Macaca fascicularis: one gene and its partner. Each later gene encodes a partner of the first gene's protein in a complex. Links are inferred from orthologs where the notes say so. Each region holds a gene or a part of one and is shown in the gene's direction. Other genes may lie near its edges.

Evidence for each region. Proteins that work in one complex are often made in the same cells at the same time.
Region 2: the proteins of GSK3B (region 1) and FRAT1 are in contact, whole or in part, in a crystal structure (PDB 5OY4), measured with the Homo sapiens proteins. The link is inferred for Macaca fascicularis from reciprocal best matches to the Homo sapiens genes GSK3B and FRAT1. Residues at the interface, in NP_001139628.1 of Homo sapiens: Tyr216, Ile228, Phe229, Ser261, Gly262, Val263, Asp264, Leu266, Val267, Ile270, Lys271, Thr275, Pro276, Ile281, Tyr288, Thr289, Glu290, Phe291, Lys292, Phe293, Pro294, Ile296; in NP_005470.2 of Homo sapiens: His200, Leu202, Leu203, Leu206, Val207, Ser209, Gly210, Asn211, Leu212, Ile213, Lys214, Glu215, Ala216, Val217, Arg219, Leu220, His221.

What each region holds. Positions count from the first base shown.
Region 1 is NC_088376.1:163,177,221-163,180,720, forward strand, and holds part of GSK3B (glycogen synthase kinase-3 beta), read left to right. Parts: intron 1-2,279; coding exon 2,280-2,473; intron 2,474-3,500. UniProt on the Homo sapiens protein: Constitutively active protein kinase that acts as a negative regulator in the hormonal control of glucose homeostasis, Wnt signaling and regulation of transcription factors and microtubules, by phosphorylating and inactivating glycogen synthase (GYS1 or GYS2), EIF2B, CTNNB1/beta-catenin, APC, AXIN1, DPYSL2/CRMP2, JUN, NFATC1/NFATC, MAPT/TAU and MACF1.
Region 2 is NC_088383.1:106,269,605-106,273,539, forward strand, and holds FRAT1 (proto-oncogene FRAT1), read left to right. Parts: upstream 1-1,135; 5' UTR 1,136-1,335; coding exon 1,336-2,175; 3' UTR 2,176-3,725; downstream 3,726-3,935. UniProt on the Homo sapiens protein: Positively regulates the Wnt signaling pathway by stabilizing beta-catenin through the association with GSK-3. May play a role in tumor progression and collaborate with PIM1 and MYC in lymphomagenesis.

The sequences.
Region 1 (3,500 bases):
CCTACTGTGAGGTGTCTCCCAGTTAGGTTACACGGGGGTCAGGGACCCACTTGTAGAGGCAGTCTGTCAGTTCTCAGAGCTCAAACGCTGTGCTGGGAGAACCACTGCTCTCTTCAGAGCTGTCAGATAGGGACGTTTATGTCTGCAGAAGCTGTCTGCTGCCTTTTGTTCAGCTATGCCTTGCCCCCAGAGGTGGAATGTAAAAGAAGCAGTAGGCCTTGCTGAGCTCTGGTGGGTTCTGCCCAGTTTGAGCTTCCCTGCTGCTTTGTTTACACTGTGAGCATAGAACTGCCTACTCAAGCCTTAGCAATGGCAGACGCCCCTCCCCCCACCAAGCTCCTGCATCTTAGGTTGATCTCAGACTGCTGCCCTGGCAGTGAGCAAGGCTATGTGGGTGTGGGACCCGCCGAGTCAGGCATGGGAGGGGATCTCGTGGTCTGCTGGTTGCGAAGAACATGGGAAAAGCACAGTATTTGGGCAGGAGTGTATCACTCCTCCAGGTACAGTCACTCATGCTTTCCCTTGGGTAGGAAAAGGAAATCCCCTGATTTCTTGCGCTTCCTGGGAGAGGCGACGCCCTGCCCTGCTTCGGCTCGCCCTCCGTGGGGTGCACCCACTGTCCAACCAGTCCCAGTGAAATGAACCATGTACCTAAGGTGGAAATGTAGAAATCACCTGTCTTCTGCATCGATCTTCCTGAGAGTTGTAGACCAGAGCTATTCGACCATCTTGGAAGCAACCATAAATGCCATCTTGCAAACGAAGGTGTTAATTGGTCGCAGACATTCACTGGCTTTTGTGTATATTAATACTTCTGTGAATTTAAATGGATATAAATATTGGTTATAATATCTTATTAGTGCATTTGGATATTCATTTATCTAGCAATTTATATTTCACAGAGAAAAATACTCATAAATATTATATTACTTTTATTAGGTTAGTTGGAATTCAGTTAGTATTTTAAAATGAAAATTGTCATAATGGAAGAATAACAGGAAAAAGTAAAAGTCCAATAAGTGAGCCTAAGGACTTATATTGTACTGAGAATTGGTTTTAGATTTGTCAGGGAAGAGAGAAGAAATAGTAGACATTTTTGTGTACATTGAAGTCACTAAAAGAACAATGTAAAGCTCTTTTAGATCAGATACTAGGTAGCATAATTCAGAGAATCGATTAAGAATTCAGAAAACAACATGGTGACTGTGGACTGTGCCTGGTCAAGTAGGAGGTGGCTCTTGTGCCTCAATTGAAGAAAGCCTTTGAATTGCTACCAGGGATGAGAGAAGGCAAAAAAGGGAAGAAGAGAGCTATGAGTAAATAGAGACCCTGGAGCCAGTAATCTGCTTGTAATTGGGCCTCAGTTCAGAATGGATTGGATTATTTAAGTTTTATATCTGTTAACCCCAAATTAACATTCTTTTCTTAACCTGAGCTTTCTCTGAGAGGTCTTCTACTTTGTGAAAAAGATTATTCAGGGAACTTAAAACTCAAAGCCTTACTTTCCTAAACGCAGAAGGATCTGAAGAGAGTCAGAATTATTAAACATTTTTATTTGCACACATTTTATTTTCAAGTAAAATAAGATCTTGAGAAAAGCCCTAAGACCTTTTAGAATTGGATGGATAAGGTCAGACTTTTATGGGCTCACAATTTGCTATTTGACCATGGGCAAATCTAACATTCTTCCTATTACCTATAATGTGGGAACAGTACTGTCTACCTCATAGGATTGAAACTAAGCATTGTGTTTGGTCTGTGGAATGACTAAATACATGGGAGTTTAAAAAATGACTTATAATCAAAACAAGTAATTGAAGTAATTACATGTGATAAACGAAAAATAATTTGTAGTAAAGAATATGGTTTATTTTGGCCAGGCACGGTGGCTGATGCCTATAATCCCAGCACTTTGGAGGCCAAGGAGGGCGGATCACCTGAGGTCAGAAGTTCAAGACCAGCCTGGCCAACATGGTGAAACCGCGTCTCTGCTAAAAATACAAAAATTAGCCAGACGTGGTGGCAGGTGCCTGTAATCCCAGCTACTCGGGAGGTTGAGGCAGGAGAATTGCTTGAATCTGGGAGGCAGAGGTTGCAGTGAGCCGAGATTGTGCCACTGTACTTCAGCCTGAGTGACAAGAGTGAGACTCCATCTCAAAAATAAAGAAAGAAAAAAAGAAAGAAAGAATTTAGTTTACCTTGTATATGTTGGCAATTTTCTCTATTTAATTCCTTATAGTTCTCATTAAAAAAAATTTTTTTTTCCTTTCTTCCGTTAGGAGACAAGGATGGCAGCAAGGTGACCACAGTGGTAGCAACTCCTGGGCAGGGTCCAGACAGGCCACAAGAAGTCAGCTATACAGACACTAAAGTGATTGGAAATGGATCATTTGGTGTGGTGTATCAAGCCAAACTTTGTGATTCAGGAGAACTGGTCGCCATCAAGAAAGTATTGCAGGACAAGAGATTTAAGGTAAAACGTCTGGTATTTCATGTATTTTGTTGCTGTCATAATACATGTACCATAAATGATTATTTTTTGGTTGTTTCTTTTTGCTTCAAATTTCTTCTATTGTGCACATTTTTGTCCAGCTCAAGCATTACAATGATTTTATTTCTAGTCGTGTATTTTGTAGAGAGAAAATTCACTGAAGATTGCAGTATTACTTTTGTAGTCATTATAAATGACATATATATATAAATCCTGTGAAAGGTAAGTTAAAATTTCTTAATTTATACTTTAAAAAGCGACCTGTCCCCACCCTTGTACTGTGTTGATGTAGACCAGAGGAACACTGCCTGTAGCATATAAGTATTTTGTGTAGTTTCCTATGCTTCCTTTCTTGAAAAAAATTTTTTTAATTCATGATGCAACTTGTGTTAGTCTATTTTTGCATCTCTATAAAGGAATACCTGACGTTGAGTAATTTATAAAGAAAAGAGGTTTAATTGGCTCACAGTTCTGCAAGCTGTACAGAAAGTGTGGTGCAGACATCTGCTTCTAATAATTGTCTCAGGAAGCTTCTAATCACGGGTAGAAGGTGAAGGGCGAGTAGGTGCATCACATGGTGAGAGCTGAGCCAGAGCATGAAGGGGGAGATCCAGACTTTCTTATTATTTTTATTGTTGTTATTATTTTGTAGAAACAGGGTTTTGCCATGTTGTCCAAGCTAGTCTCAATCTCCTGAGCTCAGGCAATTTGCCTGTCTCAGCCTCCCAAAGTGCTGGGATTACAGGCATGAGCCACCATGCCCGTCCCCAGACTCTCTTAAATAACCAGATCTCCTGTGAACTGAGTGGAAACTCACTCATCAACAAGGGGATGGTGCTAACCCATTCATAAGGGGTTGACCCCCTTGATCCAATACCTCCCACCGGGCTCTACCTCCAACACTGGAGATTACATGTCAACATGTGGTTTGGAAAGGGGTAAACATCCAAACCGTGTTACAACACTATTCATTTTTCTTGTAACTTTTTTTTTTTTTTGCTATCTTCCT
Region 2 (3,935 bases), on another chromosome or scaffold:
CCTGACCAACATGGAGAAACCTCATTTCTACTAAAAATACAAAATTAGCCGGGCATGGTGATACATGCCGGTAATCCAGCTACTCAGGAGGCTGAGGCAGGAGACTTGCTTGAACCCAGGAGGTGGAGGTTGTGGCAACAAGAGCGAAACTCTGTCTCAAAAAAAAAAAAAAAAAACAAAAAACAAAAAACAAAAAAAAAACGACTAGCAACTAGCAACCTAGGCCGGGCACAGTGGCTCACCTCTGTAATCCCAGCACTTTGGGAGGCTGAGGCAGGTGGATCACCTGAGGTCAGGAGTTCGTGACCAGCCTGGCCAACATGGTGAAACCCCGTCTCTACTAAAAATACAAAAATTAGCCGGGCGTGGTGGTGGGTGCCTGTAATTCCAGCTACTGGGGAGGCTGAGGCAGGAGATTTGCTTGAACCCAGGAGGCGGAGGTTGTAGTGAGTGGAGATGAAACCACTGCACTCCAGCCTGGGCGACAGAGCGAGACTCCCTCTCAAAAACAAACAAACAAACAAAAAAGACTAGCAACCTCCTCCTCTCCAGCAATGCCAACCCCAGTCCAGGCCCCCATCCGCCCAGGATCTCGATCAAGAAACATTAATCCGTGGCCTTTCTTTGCCATTTCCAACTCTGCCACCTCCATCGCACGACAAGGTCCCCTTCTTCCTTCCCATTCCCGTCAGTTTCCCTAATCTCCGTACAAATCCCTAGCCTGACTCCCTTTCCTTTCCATCCTCACCAGACACCCGCATGCTGGACCTCAAAAGCGCAAACGCTAAAACCCGGTTGAGTTGACGCACGGAGAGAAGGGGTGTGTGGGTCGGTGTGTGTGTGTTACTGTGTGTGTGTGCTTGTGTGTGGAAGAAACCAACAAGGTCCACGCTGGTGTCCATTTCTGGAAATGCCAATCGCGCCCGACTGCGGGAGCCAGGATCAGGTCCCCAGGGCGCCCTTGCAGACAGCACCCTGAGCGAAGGAGCTCAGAAGGCAGTCCGGCTTCACCCAGACCCCCAGTCCCGCAGAAGCCCCGTCCCCCAGCGGCACAGCACCCCCTCCCCGGCGCGGTGGTAGGGCCCAGCGCGACGTCACCCATTGTTTACAAATCAACCCGAGCCGGCAGGATTCCGGCTCCCGCGGCTGCAGGCGCGCGGCTGGAGTGACTGGCGGGCTCCGGCTTCCGCGTCCGCCACGGCCCCTGCCCCGGCCCCGGCCACGGCCCCGGCATCGTCTTCAGCTCCGCGCCCGCTCCGCCGCGGCCCACCGCACCCGCCGGCAGTCGAGCCCCCAGCGACGCCCGCACAGCTCCGGGTGCCCGGACAGGGGGCCATGCCTTGCCGGAGGGAGGAGGAAGAGGAAGCTGGCGAGGAGGCGGAGGGGGAGGAAGAGGAGGAGGACAGCTTCCTCCTGCTGCAGCAGTCGGTGGCGCTGGGCAGCTCGGGCGAGGTGGACCGGCTGGTGGCCCAGATCGGCGAGACGCTGCAGCTGGACGCGGCGCAGGACAGCCCGGCCTCGCCGTGCGCGCCCCCGGGGGCGCCGCTGCGGGCCCCGGGACCCCTGGCTGCGGCGGTGCCGGCGGACAAGGCCAGGCCCCCGGCGGTGCCGCTGCTGCTGCCTCCCGCGTCGGCTGAGACTGTGGGCCCGGCGCCCCCTGGGGTCCTGCGCTGCGCCCTGGGGGACCGCGGCCGCGTGCGGGGCCGCGCTGCGCCCTACTGCGTGGCGGAGCTCGCCACAGGCCCCAGCGCGCTGTCCCCACTGCCCCCTCAGGCCGACTTCGATGGTCCTCCGGGTGCTGGCAAGCAGGGCGTCCCGCAGCCGCTGTCGGGTCCGTGCCGGCGAGGATGGCTCCGGGGCGCCGCCGCCTCCCGCCGCCTGCAGCAGCGACGCGGGTCCCAACCAGAAACCCGCACAGGCGACGACGACCCGCACCGGCTCCTGCAGCAGCTAGTGCTCTCTGGAAACCTCATCAAGGAGGCCGTGCGAAGGCTTCATTCGCGACGGCTGCAGTTACGTGCAAAGCTTCCCCAACGCCCGCTCCTGGGACCTCTGTCGGCCCCGGTGCATGAACCCCCTTCACCTCGCAGCCCTCGCGCGGCCTGCAGTGACCCTGGCGCCTCCGGGAGGGCGCAGCTCAGAACTGGCGACGGCGTTCTTGTCCCTGGCAGCTAACACGCCCGGGGTGCCCACAGCGCCGGCCTCAGACTAGAGGGCAACGGGTTCCCCTGAGGGCTGCAATTCTGCTCAGGCTGGTGGAGAACTCTGGCTTTTGGAAGTGGGAGAAAAAAGCTAAAGACGAGGAACAGAAAAATCGCGAATGTTTCGCGGGTAACTGGGGTTGAGGGCCAAAATATTTGAAATGCAGAACTCGGCCCTATTTAAGGCGGATTTTACAGAGCGCACCCCAAGCTTACAAGTTAGTAGGATTCCTTATTTGGAGTGACCCGACCCAGCCGCGGAGCGTGCAGTTCCGCGCAGCCTCTCAGTGCCCTCCAGCCCCGCGACCATGTGGCCACAATCCACGCTTCTCCGGATCGCGGCGCGCCGGAACTACTGAGGATGATGCCAGTTACTTGCTTTACCTTTTCAGGGCTGGCTCCTGATCCACTTTGGGGGAGGGGAACATGAGTAGATAATTTCAGGGTGCACCCCAATCTGCCAGACTTGAATATTTTCAACACTTAAAAAAACCATCTTGTGTCTTTGGAGGTGCTGCTTAATATCAAACACGCGGTGCCATGAAGGGACCCTTTGAGGGTTGAATAGGAGTTAACCCCTGCGCTCCCTTTGCAACTGTCTGCCTTTCTCAGAGTGGTGGGGGAAAGGCTGTACGACACGGGTGGGGACAGGAGGTGGGGGCGGGGGGTATTGAATGGTGATGGAAGGGTAGAGAGGCGCGGAGTGAACCCCACGCGCTCTCTAAAGTGTATTTTCACAGCCGGCCTGCCTCTCCTCGGGTTCAAGGTCACTGTTTCCTGGGCACGCACTGGGTTGCGGGACAGAGTAGCCGGATTCTGCCCGTGCTCGGAGAAGAGCGCAGTGTTTTTTGCAAGTGCTGGAGTCTCCTGAGGACACGCGCGCCGCCGCCACCGCGGGTGTGGGAAAGCGCGGACGTGCTGGGCGTCTGCTTCCCTAGGCGACCACCGCCCCTGGCCGCGCTCCGGGCTTTCACGGAAACTCCCGAGACGGAGCCCCGGGTTCCTCCTCTCCCACTTGGCTCTGCTGTCCTACTCAAGCGGGTGGCTCTGGGATCCTGGGGGCCTGGGTTGGGGGCTAGGGAGACGCCATGTGATGGGCACTCCAGGGACACACAGCCTAGCACAGCAGCTTATAATGGGCTCTCTGGGGCCATTTGCAATAACAGCTGCAATTCCCTGGATAGCGGAGTTGATTTCCTCCCTCTGCCCCTCCCCCAGCCATGCCAGCTGGCCTTTGTAAGTGCAGGAAACCGAGTAGAAAATGTGACCCTCCAAATGGAGAAGCTGCAGGCTTTGCCATTGTGAACCATGGTGAAGTGCTTGGAACATACTGTTCACTCACTCTAAAGGCGCTGAGACTGTGCTGTTGTTCTCGTTTTTATAGTCAATGGCTTGTTCATCATCCAGATGTGGCTACTGACATATCTACACTTCGCACCGGAGTGTCTGGAATTGTGGCTATCCTGATTATAGGATTTTAACTTAACTGAAATGCCTGCTTTGAATAAATGTGTTGGGTTTTTTGTTTGGTTTTATTTTATACTTGCCATCGGTGAAAAAGATGTACAGAACACATTTCTCTGATCTCCATAAACATGAAAACACTTGAAATCCCTGTCAGCCTGGCTTGCGGATGGTAATTAGAGCGCCTTTGTGTCTGAGCAGCTCACTAGCTAGACAAGGTCTCCGCAGCTGGGTGTGTATTGGAGCTGGCATGAAATTAAATGAAAGTGA